2 linked regions of the Struthio camelus genome follow. The protein of the gene in region 1 interacts with the protein of each later gene in a pairwise test. Links are inferred from orthologs where the notes say so. Each region holds a gene or a part of one and is shown on either strand. Other genes may lie near its edges.

What was found.
Region 2: the proteins of KCTD6 (region 1) and GRB7 interact in binary tests that used the Homo sapiens proteins (3 or more experiments, as listed by UniProt). The two-hybrid records come from large-scale screens. The link is inferred for Struthio camelus from reciprocal best matches to the Homo sapiens genes KCTD6 and GRB7.

Annotation. Positions count from the first base shown.
Region 1 is NC_090955.1:10,377,130-10,388,943, forward strand, and holds the start of KCTD6 (BTB/POZ domain-containing protein KCTD6), read left to right. Parts: upstream 1-7,046; 5' UTR 7,047-7,311; intron 7,312-7,463; exon of another isoform or gene 7,464-7,940; intron 7,941-8,850; exon of another isoform or gene 8,851-8,916; intron 8,917-9,610; 5' UTR 9,611-9,723; intron 9,724-9,732; exon of another isoform or gene 9,733-11,814. Other genes in the region: PXK (PX domain-containing protein kinase-like protein), read left to right, coding at 444-649; PDHB (pyruvate dehydrogenase E1 component subunit beta, mitochondrial), read right to left, coding at 2,777-2,922, 3,348-3,489, 3,934-4,025, 4,642-4,752, 5,676-5,961, 6,058-6,093, 6,177-6,239, 6,312-6,419 and 2 more. UniProt on the Homo sapiens protein: Probable substrate-specific adapter of a BCR (BTB-CUL3-RBX1) E3 ubiquitin-protein ligase complex mediating the ubiquitination and subsequent proteasomal degradation of target proteins.
Region 2 is NC_090966.1:6,643,734-6,655,041, forward strand, and holds the start of GRB7 (growth factor receptor-bound protein 7), read left to right. Parts: upstream 1-5,526; 5' UTR 5,527-6,621; coding exon 6,622-6,649; intron 6,650-7,258; coding exon 7,259-7,427; intron 7,428-7,563; coding exon 7,564-7,708; intron 7,709-8,183; coding exon 8,184-8,340; intron 8,341-8,446; coding exon 8,447-8,568; intron 8,569-8,846; coding exon 8,847-8,924; intron 8,925-8,997; coding exon 8,998-9,135; intron 9,136-9,234; coding exon 9,235-9,345; intron 9,346-9,567; coding exon 9,568-9,666; intron 9,667-10,419; coding exon 10,420-10,500; intron 10,501-10,608; coding exon 10,609-10,725; intron 10,726-10,813; coding exon 10,814-10,874; intron 10,875-11,036; coding exon 11,037-11,124; intron 11,125-11,308. Other genes in the region: MIEN1 (migration and invasion enhancer 1), read right to left, coding at 394-510, 620-696, 1,263-1,360, 1,824-1,912. UniProt on the Homo sapiens protein: Adapter protein that interacts with the cytoplasmic domain of numerous receptor kinases and modulates down-stream signaling. Promotes activation of down-stream protein kinases, including STAT3, AKT1, MAPK1 and/or MAPK3. Promotes activation of HRAS.

The sequences.
Region 1 (11,814 bases):
GATGTGTTCCTTTGTAAGAACGGTAAAGTTTACCATGGAAATGCAAACAGGTAAAAAGATTTGCTTCCAGTCTTTGTTACTGGTCGAAACCCAAAGATCAAACTGCTTCACTGGGGACAAGCAAGAGAAAGTGAAGAAAGGAAATCCTCTTAAGTGATCTTCATTTCCCTCAGTGCAAGATCACGTTTTTGTCATGTTTTGCATCCCCGAGTACTGCGGCACTTCAGGCTTTGTCTCAGAGGTGTCTCAGATGGCATGACTTGTCTGCAGATAGAGGGATTTGATCTCTTTAGCATTTTTCATCTGTTCTGTTCTCCACACCCTGCTTGCATTCAAGGAGTGACGTGACTTGTGCAGAGCTGGCCTAGTCTAGCTGAGCAGCTGCAGTCCTCTGCAGCAGGGCTTCCCTGGCCGAATCAACCTACATCTTCTCTCCTCAACAGGAGCATCGTCGATACCCCCAGCACCCCCACCGCCACCCCTGCCACCAGCAGCTCCTCCTCTGAACACGGAGGTGCCAATGCAGTCAAGCCCTCAGCCCGTTGTCAGTGCAAGCCGAGGAGCCTTGCTCAGCTCAATTCAAAACTTTCAGAAAGGAACTTTGAAGAAAACAGAGACATGCGACTACAGCGCTCCCCGGATCAGCTGAGGCTACTGGTTGCCCCACGATTGGATTCACCCTCCCCCTCCTGTGCTGTCCAGGAATGAGTTCTTCCTAGCCAGCAACGGATCCACCAGCAGATAGCAGCTAATCATGCTGTAGCTCTGTTTACCCCTATTTCAGCTTTCCTTGAGTAGCAGCACTAACCCATCTGATTTGCATTGCCATGCTGTGATATTAAAGAACTCCCCCCCCCCATTCTTATTAAAGAACTCTGTTTTCTAGCTACAGTTTCAGGGGTAAAGCAACTTCTATATAGCGGAATAAAAATCTGAAAATAGGACTGACCATGATCATGGTGAATTAATGCATTTTTTTCTAGTTCTCTTCCACCCCTTTTCTCAAAATACATAAATCTTAGTTTTAGTCAGCTCTAAGTTTTTCAACACCTCCATTCAGTTAACACATCTAATTCTTGCTGAATCAGCAAGGTTTTGTTTTAGATGATCAAAAAAAGCACTTAGTCTAAAGTGTACTGCACAGGTGAGGGAACTGGAGAATTAAATCTTATTTCCACCGTATTTGCTGGTGGAGTAAAAATGCTGTCTCTCATTACATTTGTTTAAATGGATATCCTACCTGTAACTCTAAGGGAAAGTTTTTAAATGAGGAAACAGTTGCAATGGGAGTTAATGGGGTATTGGGATATTGTTCATGGTTTAATTAAATACAAGGTTAATTCAAGTGAATTTTACAGTTTAAACTTTATTGAAAGATCCTTTTTGATTTGCTCAAAACCTTAAATAAATTGCACTTTAAAGGATTATAGATAATCCATTTTTAAATTCAAGTACATCAGTGTTTGTTACTATGCAGAGAATGTCTGTACAAAGTTTCATGTAACCTGTGATATTCAGTCATTTTTATTAAAATGTTAATGGAATTCCTCCAGCAGTGTGTTGGTGGGTGCATTCAGCTAGGATTTCACCTGCAAGCCAGACTTCCCAAGAATCTAATAACACTTCTGTCTACTAACGGGAAAATACAATGAAAGTTTAGTTCTGACAAGTTCCTGGCCTGCAACTGAAACAGGACCTGAGCTCTTCTGTTTACTTGCAAAGGTAAGCACTCCTCCCCAACAGCTAACTGTAAAAGGCAGTTTATCCTTGGTATAGAGAAGCCACACTGCACAGCTCCTGTAGGCAGCCTTCACTCTGTACCAGGCCAGTAACAGAAGCTACTTCACAAAAACCTAACAGAGCTCTTGTCAGGACCGGCCCCTTAACTAAACACAGGTGTGAGCTCATCTGCCTGAAGGCTACGGCAACTGTTTCCCACCTCTTGCATGAGGATTTATGTCTCCTACAAACTGTAGACAAAGGATGTACTACCCCTTCAGACCCAGGCATACTGGACCTCAGTAAAAAGACTTACTCTTTATTGTAAGAACTATAATTGAGAGTGCTGTTAGCCCCTGTGGCAAGTTTAACAATGCATACATCTTGGCAATTCAAAACACTTTTACTGCTTTAGGTGGTAACTAGTAAAGAAAAATTAGGTATTACTTTCCACCACAGACTGATCAGGATCTTTATTTAAGCCCTTGTGCAGAAGCTTTACTGCATGAGACAATAGTTCTCTTCAAGCTGAACATGTTGGCCATCTCTAACACATACCAGACTTCTAAAACCACTTTGTACAGATGCGCTTAAGTTGTCACATTGAAAAACAAGACTTAACTCACTCTGGTTTAATCATTCACCTTTAATAAGCCTTGCTAACACAGGCTTCAGGCCCCCCACTGCTCACTCCAGTTCTTCACCTGACCACCACCATAGTCAGTTGAACACCTCTAGTCTGATAATTATGAGACAAGCAGAAATAGAGGATTTATTCCTCACTCTGAATTTAGAATAGGATTTCTCCATATACAGTAACACCAATCCACTTGTACTGTTGAAGTACAAGCTGCCTTACAAATAAGCATTACCTCATCACTGCTTGGAAGTGTGGCTTAGAAGGTAACCCCATTACACAAAGCCATATAAATATTCTGGGAGGTCATATTTTTTCCACTGTACAAAAGTTGATGTAGCTATACAACAGTTATGCATTCAGCTTGCCATACAACATTAATGCTTTTTAAAGCAGAACTTTAAAATATGTATTTACAACTTAGATATTTAATGTTTTCTTTACTGCAAATATTATATCCTTCACTTGAGGTATGCAGTTATCCTCTAAAATTTTTGCATAAGGCATAGGAACATCTGCACCTGTAACACGGACAGCTGGAGCATCCAAGTAGTTAAAGGCAGGTCCTGAAACAGAAGACAGCTGTCAGTTTGCCACTTACTCTGGTTTTCTCTCAGTTCAATTTCTGAGTCCTAAACAATTTCCTTCTTATAGTTTTAAGATTTCAGAGCTAGCAGTTCCTGCTCGCTTGTCTTCATGCGCTAAGATTTAGATGCAAAGTTACTATCCCGCTTACTACACAGTCAGATTCTTAGGATAAGAATTATTCACAGCTGCTCTTCCATAGGCAAGATCCAGAGCAGCAGCAGACCAGCTTCTACCCTGTGACCATCTCTACAATGAGATGGCTAAGCTCCAGCTCCTCAGATAAAAGACCCCAACTTGACCTTATCTCATTATCTGCTCTTGGCTTTATCAAGCAGTTTATGAAAAAGTCATCAGGATTTAGACTTACAAATTAGATCAACAGGGATGTTGCAAAATTAAGTACCTTCCATGATCCTGGCACAGATTTCAGCTCCTACTCCAAACTGCGGCCAACCTCCTTCTACAGTTACAAGATGGTTTGTCTTTACAACGCTGGCTTCTATTGCTTCAATATCCATTGGTCGAATGCTACGCAGATTTATAACCTTAAAAGAAAGGGACTGAATCAGTTTTGCTATGATCTAAGCCTGTCAGTTACTACTGTTGGGTACCACGTCCTTTGTCACGTTCAGCTATTCTGACTTTGAGGATCAGACTTAAAAGTCAACAAAATTACAAACTTTTTATCCCAGCAGACTTTTTATGGAACTGTTTGTGATGGTTCCTGGAAAATCCCAGATAGATGAGTCTTGCTATATCTAGATCCAGCCATGCTGATTTATATAGTGTACTGTTCAGTGGACCTAGCTGTATGATAATAAGCAGAAGAGCTTTAAACATTAATTTTGTGATTAAAAGGTCAAATGCAGAAACACGAAACATGCTTGGTTCACTGATTATGAAGGCATTTACCAATGGGCCTGAACAAGACACGCTGCTTTTTTTCCAGTCCATGGAAAGGGGAAAGCAACAAAAAAATCCCTACACACCTCGCACTCTACACCTTCTTTGGCGAGTACAGCAGCGGCTTCCAAACAGTGTCCAACAGGTCTCGAGTGTGACACTAAAGTAACGTGAGTTCCTAGAACAGAAACGAGAGAGAGAGACTTAAACTTTTCCTCTAGCCCCCGTGCTCTTTTTAAGGTAATGTTAGGATTCTCTGGTAAATTTAAGTATTTAGCACTTAAAATAAATATAAGGAATTCTACAGCCACAGCGTGAAAAATGGCAGTGGAAGGACTATGTCAAGACACAAACTACACCCCTGAATTCAGGGACCTGAAGAGAGATCGAATATACTTCTTAGATTATTCCTTTTAAACCTTCAAGTAATTCAGTGTTAAATTATGAACAAGCTGAAAACCTACAGTGCTTTCCCTTGCATTTTTAGAAAAAAAACCCCAACAACTACTTTCTCAAGTGGAGAAAGAAGTTTTCCAGGCATTACCTAATCCATCCTTATAGAGAAAGGAAGTCTTTTGAAAGCAGGACAGCGGGACAAAGAATATCAAGTGATCTTACTTTATAAAGAGAACAGAAAAATACAGAGCCCATAGGATAAAATAACATTTAGCATTTGAAGTGTATTCCTGTTCCCTGTGAAAGTAGTGTTTTAAGTCGGTAAAAGTTTAAAAAAAAAAAAAATCTCCCCAAGCAGTTCAGTTAGTAAGAATATATTAACTGTGTTCTCAGCTTACCTTGCCTTTCTATTTTGGCTTTTCCAATTGGAACAACAAAATCCTTTGACTGTGCCTCTTCTGACAATTCAAAGGGAACACCATACAGCAGTTCATTCTCCAGCATCACAACTAGAACAAAACTTACTTGGATTATTTTGTAGTTCTACAGCACAGGCCTATACTGAGGATAATAGCACTAGAGCAGACTACCTCAACTAGGAGCTGAATATGTTTGTAGGGGGAGAAAAAAATCCCAGTTTTGACTTCACTACTGAATTATTTTAAATTTTAAATTAATTGATTAGAATTGGTCTTAAGCAGGACTGAGCATTTAGCTTGTGGTGCATAATGGTAATAGGTCTTAATACAAAATTTAAGGTCCTTAGAATTATTCTAAAAAAATCATGAGGATTGTGAATTAGGCAAACTAGGTTGATAAAGCTAACTGACGTACAAAGCCTCTGTTTTTTAAAAAAGATAATATTGTAAAGTTTATAGAACTGAATGTACAACTCCAACTAGATCAAATGAAAATGGGAGGGGTCATGGTCTAGAGACTGTTTTTGCAGAATTGCTAGTTTTAGAAAGGTCTTAGATTTTGCATGCATGCTTACGAGGAAGGAAAACTGAGGCTGCCCTGCTCTCAGAAAATGGCATGATATTCATAACATCTGAATTTCAAGATCTGTAAAAATGAGTTACGTACTCAGACACTATATATGCAGAACTCCTCCCTGACTGATTTTTATCCTCTTAAATTCCTTTATGACAGATTCCTAAATGTTTCTTCCCAGATTGGTACCGAATTAGGATTAAAGCACTAGCACAAAATTACAGTCTACTACTAGCAAGCCACATGATTCAGGAAAGTGTCAAGTATCAGAATCGATTCCTCTGTGCCTTTGCAAGTTACCTTAGAGTAAAGCAGTCCTAAGTGTTTTAGGGTTTTAAACTTTTTTTCTTTTTTTTTAAATGGGATGTGAGGGGAAACATGAAGAGACATTTTTTAAAAAAACTAATGCTAGCTGTTGCCATGATCTGAGTGTATTCACCTGGATTATCATCCCGGATTGATGCTTTAAGCAGACCTTTCGCATCTTCTGAGCTCCATGGACTAACAACTTTCAGTCCTGGACAGTGCCCATACCAAGCAGCAAAGCACTGCGAGTGCTGAGCAGCGACCCCAGCTGATGCCCCGTTGGGGCCCCTGAAGACGATGGGCACAGAGATCGATCCTGCAGACATGTAACAGGTCTTGGCAGCAGAGTTTATGACCTGATCAATTGCTTGCATGGAGAAGTTGAAAGTCATGAATTCACACACTGGCCTCAACCCAGCCTATTAAAGTCAGGATATATATTAGTGCCTTTTTACATAAAAAGAGCTTGTTTTAAAGAGTTTAATTCAGGAGTAAAGAAACTTAAATGTACAAACCATAGCAGCACCAACAGCAATTCCTGTGAAGCCCATCTTAAACAGAAAGAAACCAAGGGTAAGCCTTTGGGAGCAGCAGGCAGAAGGGCGAGCAGGGTAAGTGACAGGCGAAGCCGTACCTCCGATATCGGCGTGTCGATTATCCTCTTGTCCCCATACTTCTTCCAGAGGCCTCGGGAGATCTGCAGAGAGAGAGGAGAGAAGTCAGGGCCCGCAGGAGGGCCTCTCCCCGCCTCTTAGCTGCGGCCGCTCACCTTGTAAGCGCCATCGTACTGCGCCACCTCCTCGCCGAGCAGGAACACCCGCTCGTCCCGCTCCAGCTCCTCGTCCAGCGCCTGGTTCAGCGCGTCTCGCACCGTCACCTGCGGCACACGCACCCTAGCACAGCGGGGGCACCGCCCGCACCCCGGGGGGGGGTCACCCCTTCCTCCCCCTCCTCCTCCTCCTCCTCCTCCTCCCCGCCTCCCGCCGCCCCCCTCCCCGTACCTGCATGGCGGCCGGCGCCGAGAGCCGGATCCCCCTGCGCAGCTGCAGCAGCCGCCCGGCGGCGGGACCCTGCGGAGACAAGGGGGACGGTGAGAGCTGAGCGGCGGGCAAGGCGCGGCGGGGGCTGGGCCCGGCCCTACCTGCCGCCCGCCCGGCACCAGCCGCCGCAGCGCCCCCGCCGCCGCCGCCGCCATCTTGCCCGTGTCCTCTAGCGCCGAGGGGAGGGGGGGGGCAGGCCCGCGCGCCGCCAGTGACGTCGAGGCCCCGCCCCCTCGGCGCCCCGGCAACCGCCGCGCCCGCCCCGCGCTCTCGCGAGAACAGGGGCGCACCGCCCCTTCCGCTCCCCCGCGGCCGCCCGGCCCGTTGGGGCCAACCGCCGGCCCACCCTGCGTTTACGGGGCGGCGCAAGGGTCAAACTTGTGCGCGGGGGGGGGGGGCCGCCGGGACGGCTCCTGGCCCCACCGCCCCCTCCCTCGACCCGCCCCCTCCCTCCGCCCTGCCCCGAGCCGAAGCGCTCTGAGCGCTTTTACCCTCTCGCCCCACCGCCCCGCGGCCCCCGCTTGTGCCCAAGCTGCTTTCGCCCGCTTGCCCCAGCCGGGGGGCGGGGCCGCGAGAGGCGAGGGCGGGGCTTGCGGCGAGCCCCGCCCCTCCGCCCCGCCTCGCCCGCGGCGGCGGCTCAACTCCGGGCTCAACTCAGTCGTCCTCTCCCTGCCGCTGCCGCTGCCGCCGCCGCCGCCGGGCTCCGCCTCAGCGCTGGCAGCTGCGCCCGTGAGTGCCGCGCCGGCCGCCTGGGTCCTCGGGGGGGGGGGGCAGGACGCCTGGGCCCCGGGGCGGTGGGGCAGGCGCTGAGCGGGCTGTGGGCCCGGCTGGGGCAGGGGCCCGCCGTGCCGTCGGCCGGGGGGGGGGCCGGGGGCCGGGCCGCGGCCCGGCGGGAAGGAGGAAAGGCTGGGGCGGAAGGCGAGGAGCGCGGGTCTGTGTCTGGCGGCTGCTGTGCTGAATCACCCTCGTGTCGGCGGCAGTTTCGCTGCCGCAGTCTCGCCGTGATGGAAGGTGGCACTTCCCAGGCTCCTCCTGTGCAGGCCCGGGCCCCTCTCAGGGAGGGAGGGAGGGAGGTGCCACCATCCTGCCCTGGCTGCTGGGGCCCCGCGCTTGGTCCGGCCCTGGTGCGCAGGGGAGCTCTGCCTCTCCGACAGCTGCCCTGCCCCGGGGCCGTTTGGAGCCGCGGCCCCCCGAGCAAGCACCTGCGAGTGGATGTTCCACGGAAGCAGAAGCACACGGCTGCACCCCGCCCCGTTGTGGCGGGCGGCGAGGAGCGCGCTGGCGCGGCGGGTTTCAGCAGCGCGGGGCCGGCAGGGACGGGCCCGATACGGGTCTCTTCTCTTGGCCCTCGTCGTGAGGTGAGGGCGAAGCGGTGGCGTGGCGTGGGCTTTTCAAGGAACGAGCGGTTACGAGGAAAGTTTGGGAGCTGGACCTGAAACAGGATGTTGTGGAGCTCCTCAGCGGAGGGAAGAAAACTTTGGGAGCTTGGAGTTTGTAGTGAAGCAATTAGACATAAGGCAATGAAATGCCGAGTGGCTAGCGCGAGCGTTTTATTCTTCTGCCTGAGTTGAGGTGTAAGTATACTAAAAAGAAACTAAGGAAAAACAAGATTACATTAGTTTATAATGAACTGCCTTAGTCATTATAAGTTTGATGTGTTTAGAAGGCGATGGGTGCCTCCTTGAGTGAAGCAAATCTGTTGAATTACCAGAGCAGTTGGTAACTTGTTTTAAGACAACATGTCCTCCTCGCTCTTTCTCGGCTAAGGCAGTGTGGTGCTGTATCATCATGGTCTCGCTCTATAGACTGTGGTCTCACTGCACGGTTTTGTGGAGTAGAGTCATTGCTTGTTCTAGTTTAGTTTTTGTCAGTTCACGTGTCTCTGTGATAAGAGATTTACCGTAAAAACTCTCCTGTCAAACTCTGTAACTGGATCAGGAGCAGGGAGATTGTTCACAGATGTAACGTAACTGTGCTCAGAGCTGGAGTTCTGGTTCTCATCCTTGGAGATCTAAATGTCAGAGACAAGGATCTCACTGAGTGGGTGTGAGTAGCTTCAAAGACTGAGTATGTTTATCTGTACAAGTACAGAGCTAGCTTTGCTCCTTTTAATTTTTTAAGTTGCTGTTTGTGCAATTCCTGTCAACTTTGTCTCGACCTAGAAATCGAAGATGCCTACTGAGGTTAAACAGTTTGTCCTACAACACTGGTACCAAATCGTCCATTGAAGACTAGAACTAAAAGCGAGTCTTTTAATTCCTTTGTTAGAAAACCTGGATGAAAAACATTTAGAGCAGACCAGGTGGTGCCTGCCTCTTGACTTCTAAGCATTAGGTATATTTCTACTCCTCCTCCATGTAACTGCATGTGATAAAAATGCTGTCATTTTCTCCAGGAGCAGTGTGATAACCTATTCCCTTGACCCAATGCAGTATACACAGTGCTAGCAGCAAAAAGGCTTGGCGATGCCGCTGGCTTCCCCTGGGTCTGAGTTGGACCCACGTGTGTGTTTTCACAGATGCAGACCTTCAGCTGACTCTCACTTGCTTTTTCTGAATCTCAGCCTGCAAAATGGTTGCATGCTAGTAGCTGTCTTCATGGGAGAAGCCTTAATCAAGTTAATGGGACTACTGTTGCAGTAATGTTGCTAGTAAATAGCCTTGTAATCCTCTGAGTCATAAAATATTAAATAAGACTGAGAGTTCTATAAATGCAGGTCCCCCATTCAGTATATTGAGCATGACACGATGACTTGAGGGCTTTTCATCAAAGGCGCTTGCCTCTCGTTGTTACTTTCTAGTTTTGGATGCGCTCAATGCTGCGATAAAATGAGATGACCGTATTAACACTGTCTTATCTTCTCCTCACCCCCTAAAAGAGCTTAAGGAAAGTAGGACTGTGGTTTGACTCAGTCAGTGCACTTCTGCTCTCACCAAAGAGCAATATTCTGTTTGGCTTATATGGTGTCAGCAGTTTACCTGGCTAAATTTCATCTCAAATGAATATTTCTTATGATTATTAAACACAGGCTGTGTTGGGATACGCGTGCGTCTCGTCTCTTCTTTGCTGTCTGGACGCAGGCTGGCCTCCTTAGATCATCTGTTTGCGTTGTGCGTCTCGCTGCGATGCTAGCTTTGCCAGGTACGTCTGTGCGTGTCTAGTGATTCTGGACTCTTATACAAAGATCAATGAGGCTTCTAGATGCCACTTATTTATTGAAGGCTGGGGTTGTTTCAGCTAATTGTTCTCATAAATTATTTGCTCCAGTGTTATGCAGTGATGCTGTGATCAAACATTAGCTCCTGTCTTCATACTGACAGGCAGATGTAATTTGTTTCTTTTCCTGAATGATAACTGATAAAGAACGTCTTGACTGATCTGTACTGGGGACTCAGATGCTGGCCAAAATAGCACAGTATTCATCCAATCATTTAAATAACTCTGATGGATATCCGTCTTTCAAATACTCTGAATGTAATTTCTAGTTAACTTAATATTAAGACTGCAGCTCTATTCGCTTATGATAATCAGTGGAATTTCTGGATGGCTGCATTGTTTTACCTTCAAGCGAATGTTTTACATGAACACCAGAAACCTACTCCAGTCTCTCTCATGGTTTTACTGCTTCTGCATGCTATGTCGGGGTTGTACTTGATCAAAATAACAACTGCAAGTGCACTTTTCCCTGGAAATTAAAAAGAATTTAAAAGGTCTGAGCTAATGATAAAAGCTAATGATTTGTACTTGTATAACAATGCAAAATAAAGAAAAACCTGAATAAATTCACTTCTTGGTATGTCAGCAGTAATAAAAAAAAAAATTATAGAAGTTGGCAAAAGAGCTAGAATTCCAGGTTTACCTACTGTCAGGGAGGCATCATTTAATATACGTTCTCGAGGCATGCTCCATCTCTTAATTTGTAAAAATAGGATGGTGGTATGACTAGTTCTGTATCTTAATTCCTTAGTCTTCTGTTGTCTGACCTCACAATTTCATATGCTGGTTTTATTTTTTCTTCTCTTGATGTGTCTGAAATGCAGTTGAGGCTGTGTACCTGCTGCTGGCCCCCAAAGGCCTGACCTTTTGAAAGCCGTTCTGCTTAAACTCAGAGTTTGGGCATGGTGGCAGAGTCCAGAGAGGTGGGATATGTCGCATTGTACTGCGGTGAATGATACTGACCTTGTTTGCCAGGAATGAGAAGGGCAAATAATTTTTTGTTCAAAATTAGCTGTGAACCTTTAATTATTTGAGAAGGTAGTACTCCATCTTGGCTTCACCTTCATACGTCTCTTTGCTGGGTGACTGCAGGTTGAAGTATGTTAGTAAAGAGGTTGGTCTCTACTTGCAAGCAGAAGTCTTGGTAAATGTGTAGTCTTTAAGATATAAAAAATAAAATCCAAAAAGCTGCACCCCGCTCAAAACACTGTCCTAAATTTTCAGTGATTCTAGCAGAGATGCAGACTCCTGTATAGGGAATAAAGGCTAACTGGCAACTGGCTTCTCTCTCTGTGCATCACTCAACACACGGTCCACAGGCCCCCTTGGGAAAGCCTGTGCTGGTGTCTGGAGTTGCTCGTTCCCCCACGCCGAGTTGCATAAACCAGGGTGTGGAATTCCCCTTGCTGCCCTCGGTGGAGGGAGTCCCCCTGATATGTCAGTCAGTGGTTCAGCATCTTCTAGGAAGTTTCGGCATGAACCACTTCTCGATTTGCTTTTGTTGGAGCGTTGTTGAAAGTGTGCTTGATATCCTTTTGCTTGTCCCTAAAGAGATTTCTTTCGAGAGTTTGTATGTGCCTGTGAAATACATTTGTGCTCCTTCTCTGTAGATTAATGTTCTTCCTATCAACTGCAGTTCTCCGCTATTAAATTATTAACTCCACAGTGAGATTCTTTTTTCATATTGTTCATGACTTTCATGCTTGATTTATTCTTCTGCATAGTCTGAAACTGGACTATGGGAATTCTGACTAGTATTACTGGATCACAAGTATGACCTCAATGCAGGCTAAATAAAGTTTTTAATTGGGAGAAGGACATCTGTCTTTCCAAGCGAGAGGTAGTCCATTTGTGAGCATAAATTATCCTTAAAGACACGTTGCTTGTTATTTAACAAAACTGGGCTGGATGGAACAGCCGGTGAAGTGATTACAGTGTGCTCTGGAGAAAGTCCTGTGGGTAGCGTGAAGGGAGATGCAGGGAAATGCTTGTTTGTAGATTCTTCCGCTAATGCGG
Region 2 (11,308 bases), on another chromosome or scaffold:
GAGGAGCAAAGCACAGGGGTGCTGAGGGGGAAACGGGCCAGCCAGTGGGTGCTGGGAGATCCCAGCTCAGCAGGGGGACACAGCCAGGGCTACAGGATGACGCATGGCGGGCGGCTGTTGGTGATTTTCTCGAGTGGTTCCCCATTCCTAGCTCTGCGAATCGCTTCGATCAGCTGAGGAGACAGAGGGGAAGGGGTCGCGCTCACCAGCCAGCCTCGAGCAGCAGCCCGGCTTGCGTCGCAGACAGGCGCTTCGCAGGGGGCCGCAGCGGCCTGCAGCACTCAAATGCCCAAAGCGCAGCAGACGCCACGTCGGCCCCAGCGCCAACCACCGGGCTGAAGGGACAAGAGAGGAGCCCCAGGAACCTTCCCCTGCGTGAGCGGCAGCTCAGGCTCACACCCGGAGCGGCTGCTGCCGGGGGATGCAGGTGGGATCGAAGCGTGGTGGGAACGTGAGGCTTCCCCATGCTCCGCAGAACTCACAGGTGATGAAACGGAGACACGGAGAAGCCTCAAAAGGGAAAAACCGGTCACAGGAGACCTTGCTGCAAAAACAAGCCTCCCTCTAGGGCCCATCCAAACCGGCTGACGCAAGGAGCTTGCTGGGCCCCGGTACTTACATCCTTCTCGTAGGGAAAGCCTCCGTTCTCCAACTTGGAGAAGACCAGCTGCCCATTGATTTCAATCTCAAAGGCACCTTGAAAACACGCAGAGCCGAGCTGTAAGCCGTGCTGCTGCCCCACACTGTGCTGTTAAACCCCACACCAGTCCCGTAACCGTTCCTGTCACTGCAACAAGCGTCTGAGAGGCAGAAACACCGCAGCTGGGACCAGGTTATCTCCAGACCTGCCAGAACATACCCTCCACGGCAGGACTGGGCCAGCAGGAGGCAGAGCACAGGGCAGCAGCCCCCAGAGAGATATGAGGGCTTCTGCCTTGCTCCGGGCAGACCCACAGGCTCCTGAAAGCCTCTGCGTCCCCAAAGACCGGGGTGAGGGGCAGGGACATCCCCCATGACGTGCAGCTATCGTGCAAGCAATGCACAAACCGCCCCAGGAGCCTCGACGCACAGCTCAAAATCAGAGACCCATCTTCACCCCTAGCGTTAAACCCGTTCAGCCCCTCCACTCTCCCCACACGTTACCGAGGGATGGGGCTACGAGACTGCAGACTGTGACAGGGCCAAAACTACTGTAAGAGCAGCGGTGGACAAACGCGTGGCGCTCGCCACAGCCCCACGGAAGGGCGAGCGCAGGGCCGTACCTGTGCCCCCGAGCCGGGACTCGATCTCGATGTCGGGGTACTCCTCCTTCACGGCGCTCGCCAGCTCCTGGTACGTGGGCTCGAACCCGCAGGGCTCACTGGGTGCAGCAGGGGGAGAACCGGGGTCAGGAACAGGGGCACGGCTGCGGGAGTGGGGAGCAAGGGGCACCCCGACAGCACCCCCCACCCCGTCGCCCCCAACCCCAACAACCTCCTGACAGCCCCCCAAGCCAGCATCCACCTCCCCTGCGCTGCCGGCCCCCCGCGCCCCCTCCCCAAACCCCTCCAACCCCTCTGAGCCCCCCCCAGGCCCCCACCCCTAAAAAGCCCCTCAGCCCCCCAAACCCCCCTGCACTCCCCCAGCCCCCCCTCCAGCTCCGACCCCCCCAGCCCTGAAAGGCCCCCCCAAACCCTGCTACCAGCCCCCCGCTCCGGCTCCTCCGCACCGCCCCAGCCCCCCCCCTCACACCCCGAAAGGCCCCTCAGCCCCCTCCGGCTCCCCCAAATCACCCGCTTCCCGCCGCCCCGCAGAGGCCTCTCCGCCGGCCCCCGAGCACTCACCAGTACTCCACCACGATGCGGACCCGCTGCCCGGCCCCGGTCGTCGCCGCCGCCGCCGCCTCAGTCCCGGCCTCGGCCCCGCCGCTCATGGCCGCCCCGGCCGCCACCGGCTGCCGCCCGCTTCCGGGTGACGCCCACGTGAGCGCGGCGCTTCCGGCCTCTCTGCCCCGCCCTCTCGTCTGCTCCGCTCGGCGCCGGCCGCGCCCGCCCCCTGCCGGCGGGAGGAGCGCGCAGCGGCGGCTGCGGCCCGACGGGGACCCCGCGGGAGCCTCACGGCACCCACGAGAGTCCTAGAGCACCCGCGGGAGCTCTATAGCACCCAAGGGGGTCCCAGAGCACCCATGGGAGCCCTGTAACACTTATTGGAGCCCCACGGCACCCACTGGAACCCTAGAGCACCCACGGGAGCCCCACGGCACCCAAGGGGGCCCACTGCACCCACGGGATTCCTAGAGCACCCACTGAAGCCCCACGGCACCCACTGGAGCCCTGTAACACCCACGGGAACCTCACAGTACCCACGGAAGCCCCAAAGCACCCACAGGAGCCCCAGAGCCTCAGAGCAGCTATGGGAGCCCTGTAACACCTCCTGGAGCCCCACGGCACCCACGGGAGCCCTGTAACACCTACGTGAGCTGCACAGCACCCACGGGAGCCCTAGAGCACCCAAGGGGGCCCCAGAGCACCCATGGGAGCTGTAGAGCACCCAAGGGGGCCTTATGACACCCATGGGAGCCCTGTAACACCCACGGGAGCCCCATGGTACCCACAGGAGTCCCAGCACACCCACAGGAGCCGCAAAGCACTCATGGGAGCCCTGTAACAGCTGTGGGAGCACCATGACCCCTGCAGGAGCCCCAGAGCACCCACAGGAGCCCTAGAGCACCCAAGAGAGCCCTGTAACACCTACAGGAGCTCCATGGCACCCATGGGAGCCCCACAGCACCTGTGGGAGTCCCAAAACACCCATGGGAGCCCTGTAACACCTATGGGAGTCCCATGGCACCCACGAGAGTCCTATAGCACCCACGGGAGCCCCAAAGTACCCACAGGAGCTCTATATCACCTATGGGAGCCCCATGGCACCCACAGGAGCCCTATAACACCCACGGGAGCCCCATGACACCCATGAGAGCCCCAAAGCATCCATGGGAGCCATCTAGCACCCGCAGGAGCCCCACAGCACCCACGGGATCCCCATAGCACCCACAGGAACCTCATGGTACCAACGGGAGCCCCACAGTACCCTCAGGAGCCCTATAGCACCCATGGGAGCCCTGTAGCACCTTTGGGAGCCCTATAGCAGCCATAGGAGCCCCACACCCCCCTCACAGCCCCCAGGGGACCTTCTGGGTCCCCCATGTCCTAGCAGGTCCCCCACATCCCCGTTCCACATCCCCCCCCACACTGTGGGGCCCGCCCCAGCCCCCCAGGCTCTCCCCAGGCCCCCCGAGCTGCACCCAGCACCCTGGGGGGCCCGGACACCTGGGTTCCCACCTGGGCTTCGCCGTGTTGGTCCTGGGGGAGGGGGGGGGCCTGCCCCGGGGCGTTGTGGGAAACTCCCCATCACGGTGGGGGGGGTGGCGAGGAGCGCGGGGCCGGGGCACCCCAGGGTGGCGGGCGGGGGCCCTGGGCGCGGCGCCCCACGGCGGGCGCCCCACGGCGCGGCGGCCGGGCGGCGTGATGTCAGGCGGGGGCGGGAGCTGGCGCAGGTAGATAAAGGCTGGGGAAAACAGGAATGCCCAGCGCGGCGGGCGGGCGGCGGACGGCGGGCGCCTGCAGGTAGGAGCCGGCCCGGGGGGCCCCGCGCGGGGCCCCGGCACCTCGCGACGCCCCGGACGCCGGGGCCCAGCTCTGCTGGCCTCCCCTCCCCGGCCCTCCTTCCTCCCCGCTCTTCCTCCTCCTCCTCTCCTGCCCGGCTCGGCCTCGCCGCCACCCTGCCCCTGCACCTTGACACCCCCTGGCCCTGGGGCCCCCAGAGCCCTGGACCCCCGATGTGGGGCCTTGATGGTCCCTGATCCCCTGCCCCATGGCCCTGGTGGTCCTGGACCCCTGCCCCATAGTCCTGGTGGCCCTGGTCCCCTTGCCCCAGAGCCCCATGGACCTGGTCCCCTGTGTGTCCCAACCCCAGGACACCCCATGTTTCCCCCCCCACCATCACCACCATCACAGCTGGGGGTGTTGGGCTGCAGGGCCAAGGCCGGCATCAGGGTGGCCTGAGGCCACGGTGAGAGGCTGGCAGGTCGGCAGCGGAATTGTGCCACTCCCTGCAGTGTCCCCCCTGCCCCCATGTCCCCCATCCCCCTTGCACGGCCCCCCCCCACCCCCGTTACCCCGGCTGGGACGGGCCACGGACAGGGCGTCACACCAGGATGGGGATGGGGACGTCACACCGGGATGGGGACATCACAGCGGGACAGAGACGGGGTGGCACACTGGGATGGGGACGTCACACCGGGATGGGGACAGGGATGTCACATCGGGATGGGGACGGGGACGTCGCAGCAGCCCGGACCGCATCGGCCCTGGCGTGGCCGTGGACTTGGACCCCGAGCGGGCTGGCGGGAGGCGGGGGCCGCAGGCTGCCGGCGCCGGTGAATGATTAAGCCGGCGGGCGGGTGGCGGGGCCGGCGGTGCCCGTGCCGGGGCCAGAGGGGTCCCGCGGGGCGTCCGAGCCTGCTGGCGGCCGGCGAGTCACCGTGCTCTGGCACGGTACGCGTGCTGCGTGCCGGCCGGCCGCGCCGGACGGGCTGGGCCAAGCCAGGGGCCGCGCGGCCGCCTGCCCACCCGCTGCCGGGAACCGTCTCCCTGCTTTGGGGCCGAAAGGGCGAGAGGCCGGGGATGGCGCAGCGTGGCCCCGGCCGGCTCGGCGCCGTTCCCGCGGCGGGCGCGGGCCCCCGGCCCCGCGGCGCTGCCGGCCCCGGCCCGGATGCCAGCGCGCTGAGGTGGAGCTGGGAGCGGCCGCCAGAACTGGTTTGGCCGGACGCGAGGAGGTGTCTGGGCTGGGCTGCGAGGCTCCGCTTCCTCCTGCCGCCGCCACCGCCGCCGCCGCTCCGCCGGGCGCTGCTCGGCTCGGCTCAGCTCGGCTCGGCTCGGCTCAGCTCCGCCTGGTGCTGCTCAGCCAGCTCGGCTCAGCTCGGCTCGGCTCGGCTCAGCTCCACCTGGCGCTGCTCGGCCGGCTCGGCTCAGCTCAGCTCCGCTGGGCGCTGCTCGGCCAGCTCGGCTCAGCTCGGTTCAGCTCGGCTCGGCTCGGCTCAGCTCCGCCTGGCGCTGCTCGGCCGGCTCGGCTCAGCTCAGCTCCGCTGGGCGCTGCTCGGCCAGCTCAGCTCGGCTCAGCTCGGCTCGGCTCAGCTCTGCCTGGCACTGCTCGGCCAGCTCGGCTCAGCTTGGCTCGGCTCAGCTCCGCCTGGCGCTGCTTGGCCGGCTCGGCTCAGCTCGGCTCGGCTCGGCTCAGCTCAGCTCCGCCTGGCACTGCTCGGCCGGCTCGGCTCGGCTCGGCTCAGCTCGGCTCCGCTCGGCTCAGCTCCGCTGGGCGCTGCTTCGGCCAGCTCGGCTCGGCTCAGCTCGGCTCAGCTCAGCTCAGCTCCACCTGGCACTGCTCGGCCAGCTCAGCTCAGCTCGGCTCGGCTCGGCTCAGCTCCGCCTGGCGCTGCTCGGCCAGCTCGGCTCAGCTCGGCTCAGCTCAGCTCGGCTCAGCTCAGCTCCACCTGGCACTACTTGGTCTGGCTCTGCCTGGCCCACCTCGGCTCGGCTCGGCTCGGCCCGGTGCAGTGCAGCCCAGCCTGCTTGGTCCAGCCCGGCTCCGCTCTGCTCAGCTCAGCCCGGCACAGCTCGGCTCAGCTCCATCTGGCTTAACTTGTCTCTCCTTGGCCTGGTTCAGCTCAGCCCAGCCCAGCTCAGCCCAGCCCAGCTCAGCTCAGCCCAGTTTGGCTCAGCTCGGCCCTGCACGGCTCGGTTTGGCTCGCTCGGGCTCGGCATGGCTCATCCTTGCTTGGCCCCAGCTCGACTTAGCTCAGCCTGGCTCAACTCAGCTCGGCTCAGCCCGGCCGGGCTCATTTTAGCTCAGTTCAGCCCGGTTCAGCCCAGCCCGGTTTGGCTCAGCCCAGCTCGGCTCGGCTCGGCTCACCACCGCCTCCCAGCAAAGCCCAGCGGCGGAGCTGGGGGTGTCAGGGCGCCCGGTGGCGATTTTGGGGGATTCGTCCTGGGGGGCCGCGGTCGGCTGCCGCCACCGGGAAGCGGCTCCCAGGGTGGGGCAGCGCGTGGGCGGCCAGGGATTCTCGGGCGTCTCGTACGAGGTTGTGCTGGCAGGGGGGCACGCGCGCCCCGTCTCCCCGGCTGCCTCTTCCTGGAAGCACGTGGGTGTTTGAGGCTGATTTGGGTCCTAAAGTGATCGGGGCTGGGGCAGGAGGGACAGCGGGAGACCCGGCGGAGACGCCACCACCCCTGGGCGCAGCGCGAGGTGCAGGCCTGGCTCTTGCCCATCGCTCGTGGCCTGTGGAGGCAGCTGGCGGCCGGGTGCCTCCCTCTGGCCGGCTCCCGCGGGCTGAAGTGCAGAGCTGGCTGGTGTCCGGCTGCGCGACCCCCCGCCGGGGTCCCCCAGGGACCCGCCGAGCTCCATTCCCAGCACCCTGATCCGGGCCGGGGTTTCCTGGAGACCCAGCCAGGTGCTGCCCCCTTCACCCAGGCACCTGGGCACCCGCAGCCTGCAAGAGCCGGACTGGATCCCTGCAGCACGGAGGGAGCGGCCTCCCTGGGGCCAGGCCCACTCCTGCCACGAGCTGGCTGGGTCTCAGCTTGAATGGGGAGAGACTGGCGGGATGTGCGGGGTGAGGCTTTGGGGCTGTGTCCCTGCCCCTCTGCTGCCCCGTTCGCTGCTGGGGGGGGGGGGGGGGCTGGTCCCCAGGGACAGCGGGGAAGAGGCCTCGGAGGCATCGGAGGCGGCAGGCTGAGCCCTGGCGCACCGCGGAGGCAGATCTCCAGCTGGGACGGAGCTCAGGCACCGGCTGCAGCGCCGGGGCACAGCCCCGCGGACACCCCCGGCCTCGGCCCTCCCGCGACACCCCCAGCCCAGGGCCGGGGACGTGGGCCGGGAGCAGGCCGGGTGCCCGTCGCAGCGGGGCAGGAGCGAGCCGCGGGGGCAGGTGGGGCCATGCTGAGTCACCTCGCCGCACGCTGACTCACCGCTTGTCTGGGCGCCGGGGAAAAACACTGCCCAGGCGGGTGCCAGGGCGGGCTGCCCCGGGCAGCGGCGGGGCCGGCGGCTGGCGGGGTGCACGTGGCGTGGCGGGACCCCCGCCGGCTCCTGCCGTGCCCGCAGCCCAAAACTCCAGAGCCCGCTCTCCGGCCCCCAAGCTGGTGCGAGGACCCAGGCGTCCGGGCCTGGCCGGGGCTCGGGGCGGCGTTCAGCTACAGGACCTCCCCCTCTCTGCCCCCAGATAATGCCATGGACGGGGGGGCTGAGCCGAGCAGCCCCCTGGAGCCCCCCGGGGCGGGCGGCGCGGAGCAGGAGGGGGCCGCCAGCCTGCCTGGCGAGCGGGACGCGGGCGAGGGGCCGCCCGCCGCCGACGTCAAGCGCTCCCAGCCCCTCTTCATCCACGCCGGCAGGTCGGTGGGGGGTCCCGGACGCCTGGGTCCACCCGGGGCAGTGGGGGGTTGGAGTGCAGGTGGAGGGAGGCAGGAGCGGGCCGGGGGGCCGGGAGCTGCCGCGGCCCCGGCGCCCTCAGCCCCTCTGCGCCCGCAGCCGGAAGCCGGCGCTGGAGGAGCCGCGCGCCTCGTCGCTGCCCTGCATCCCCAACCCCTTCCCCGAGCTCTGCAGCCCCTCCAACTCCCCCATCCTGAGCAGCCCCGCCGTGGGGCAGGGGCCCCCCCGCGAAGGCGCCTCCCACGTGAGTCTCCCGGGCACCCCGCAGTTGTCCTACCCCGGGTCCCTTCCTGGCTGTGGCTTGGGGCAGGATGGCGCTGGGGCTGAGGCCTGATGCACTCATCACGGTGGGGGGGGCCAGGGCTTGCTGGTGGGGATGGACCATGGGGGAGCTAGGGGAGGGACTGGGTCCCCTGCAGTGCTGCTAGCGCCGGGCACATCCTTGCCGCTATTTTCGTCCCCAGGAGAGGGAGGGAAATGGGGAGGGGGCCCAGGCGTCCTGGGGGACCCCATGGGTGGGGGACACGGCGGTAGTGCAGCCGTGAGGGGTGCACTCGGACGCTGGGGTCCTCGGGAGGTGAAACCTCTCCAGGTGCCACCCACGACCAGCGAGGGACCCCCAGCTCTGCCCCATCCCCACGGGAGAGGGGCTGGCAGGAGGCAACTGGGGGCCCCGGGCGCCGGGGGACCCTGAGCACGTCCCCGGCGCGTCCCCGCAGGTGGTGAAGGTGTTCAGCGAGGACGGCGCGTGCCGCTCGCTGGAGGCGTCGGCGGGCACCACGGCGCGGCAGCTCTGCGAGATGCTGGTGCAGCGGGCGCAGGCGCTGCACGACCACAGCTGGGCCCTGGTGGAGCTGCACCAGCAGCTGGCCCTGGGTGAGCGGCGACGGCGCGGCCTGGCGCGGCGGCCGCGGGGCCGAGGGGTGGGCACGGCGCCGGGCACGGCGGGCGGTGAGCCGGCGCTGAGCCCCGCGCCCCGCAGAGCGGTGCCTCGAGGACCACGAGTCGGTGGTGGAGGTGCAGGGAACGTGGCCCCTGGGCGCCGACAGCCGCTTCGTCTTCCGCAAGAACTTCGCCAAGTACGAGCTCTTCAAGAGCAACGGGGTAAGCGGCCGCGGCGGCAAACGCCACCGGCACCCGGCACCCCACGGGGACCAGGATGCCCCGCAGGGACCCAGACACCCCACGGGGACCTGGGCACTCCGTGGGGAGATGGATGCCCGATGGGGACTGGGACGTCCCATAGAGACCAGGAGGTCCCATGGGGACCTGAACACCCCACAGGGACCCAGGCACCCCAGGGTGCTCCATGGGGACCCGGGCACCCCGTGGGAGCCCCAAACGCCCCATCCGTCTCCACTGATGCCCCTGTCCCCCCCCAGCAGTCCCTCTTCCCGGAGGTGATGGTGTCCAGCTGCCTGGAGGCCAACAAGAGCATGGCGCACTCGGAGCTCATCCAGGTAGGGGGCCACCACGCCACGGGGGCTCGCCGGGCCGGGGGGGACCCCGCCGTCACCCCTCGTCTCTCCCCAGAACTTCCTCAACTCCGGGAGCTGCCCCGAGGTCCAGGGCTTCCTGCAGCTGCGCGAGGGCGGGCGCAAGGTCTGGAAGCGCTTCTACTTCTCCCTGCGCCGCTCGGGGCTCTACTACTCCACCAAGGGCACGTCCAAGGTGAGGCCGCGGGGACGGCGGGTGCGAGCCCCAGGACCCACCCCGCAGGGCCGCCCCGCTCGCCGGCACCCGCCTGACGCCCCCTCCCCGGCCCCCCAGGACCCCCGGCACCTGCAGTATTTCGCCGACCTCACCGAGTCCAACGTCTACTACGTGACGCAGGGCAAGAAGCACTACGGGACGCCCACCGAGTTCGGCTTCTGCATCAAGGTGGGGGGCCCCCTCTACCCACCCGGCGGGGGCACGCCGGATAGAGCAGGGAGCACCCAGATGCCTGGGTCCCCTTTCCGAGTCTGGGGGCTGGGACTAGGCACCAGGACTCCTGGGTTTTGACCCAGCTCCTCTAGGGGGTCTCAGCACCAGGTCCCCCCACGCGGGGGGCTGAGGACCCTGCTGGGGCTGCCCCGTGACAGCGCTGGCCTCTCCTGGCAGCCCTACAAGGTGCGGAGCGGCACGAAGGGCCTGAAGCTCCTGTGCAGCGAGGATGAGCAGAGCCGGACGTGCTGGATGGCGGCTTTCCGCCTCTTCAAGGTGAGCCCGGCCCCATGGCGGAGGCGTGCGGGGTGGCTGCTCGCCCCCCGGCCCTGTGCCGGATGAAGGTCCCTGTCCTCAAGGGATGCCGGATGGATGTCAGGGTGGATGCTGGACGGCTGTCCCCATCCCTGTCCTTAAGGGATGCTGGACGGAGGTCCCCATCCTCGTCCCTAAGGGATGCTGGATGGAGGTCCCCATCCTCGTCCCTAAGGGATGCTGGATGGAGGTCCCTATCCCTGTCCCCAAGGGATGCTGGACAGATGTCCCCTTCCCTGTCCCCAAGGGATGCTGCATGGATATTCCCATCCCTATTCCTAAGGGATGCTGGACAGATGTCCCCATCCCTGTTCCCAAGAGATGCTGGATAGACGTCCCCATCCCTGTCCCCCACAAGGGATGCTGCATGGATATTCCCATCCCTGCTTTGCAGGGATGCTGGACAGATGTCCCCATCCCTGTCCCCCACAAGGGATGCTGCATGGCTGTCCCCATCCCTGTTTTGGAGGGATGCTGGACAGATGTCCCCATCCCTGTCCCCCAGGGATGCTGCATGGCTGTCCCCATCCCTGTTTTGGAGGGATGCTGGTTGGATGCTCACATCCCCAAGCCAGATGAAGGTCCCCATCCCCAAGGGATGCCGGATGGATGTCTCCATCCCTATTCCCGAGGGATGCTGGACGGATGTCCCCGTCCCCGTGCCGGGCAGGCACCCCTGCGGGGCCGGCCCGGCTCACAGTGCTCTCCCCGCAGTACGGCATGCAGCTCTACCGCAACTACCAGCAGGCGCAGGCCCGGCTCAGCCAGCCCCCCTGCATCGGCCCCACGCCCCTGGTGAGTGCCCGGCCCCTCGGCCCCCCGGCCGCCCCGCGTTGGGGCTCCCGACCCCCGGGGTGCTGCCGGCCCGGCCCGGCTCCCCCCAGCTCTCGCCGCCCCCCGCAGCGGAGCGTGTCGGACAACGCGCTGGTGGCCATGGACTTCTCGGGGTGCACGGGCCGGGTGATCGAGAACCCCAGCGAGGTGCTGACGGCGGCCCTGGAGGAGGCGCAGGCCTGGCGGGTGAGTCCAGGGGGACGGGGGATATGGGAGGGGTCGCCCTGGGGCCCCAGCCCCCCGCTAACACCCGCTCCTGGCTTTGCACTGCCAGAAGAAGACGACGCACCGGTTCAGCCTGCCGGCGGCCTGCCAGACCTCGCCGCTCAGCGTCGGTGAGCAGCGCCCGGCCCTGGGGTCCCATCCCACCCCGCCGGGCTGCAGGAGTCCCGCATCCCCGCCCAGGGGGGGTCCGGCACCCCCAGCGGCTGCGGGTGCCCACACCGGGGTGCCGGGCTGCCCCAAGGCCCCCGTGCGTAAAGCCCGTCTCCCCGCAGCCATCCACCGCACCCAGCCCTGGTTCCACGGGCGCATCTCCCGCGAGGACACCCAGCGCCTCATCGGCCAGCAGGGCCTGGTGGATGGGTACAAACCCGGGGGGATGCGGGACCCCTGGGGGGGATACGAGACCCTGGGGCTTGCCAGAGGATGTGGGAGCCCTGGGAGGGATATGGGACCCAGGGTCTCACAGGGGGATAGGGGACCCCTTGGGGATAGGGGACCCATGGGCAGATCACAGGGGGATAGGGGACCCATGGGCAGATCACAG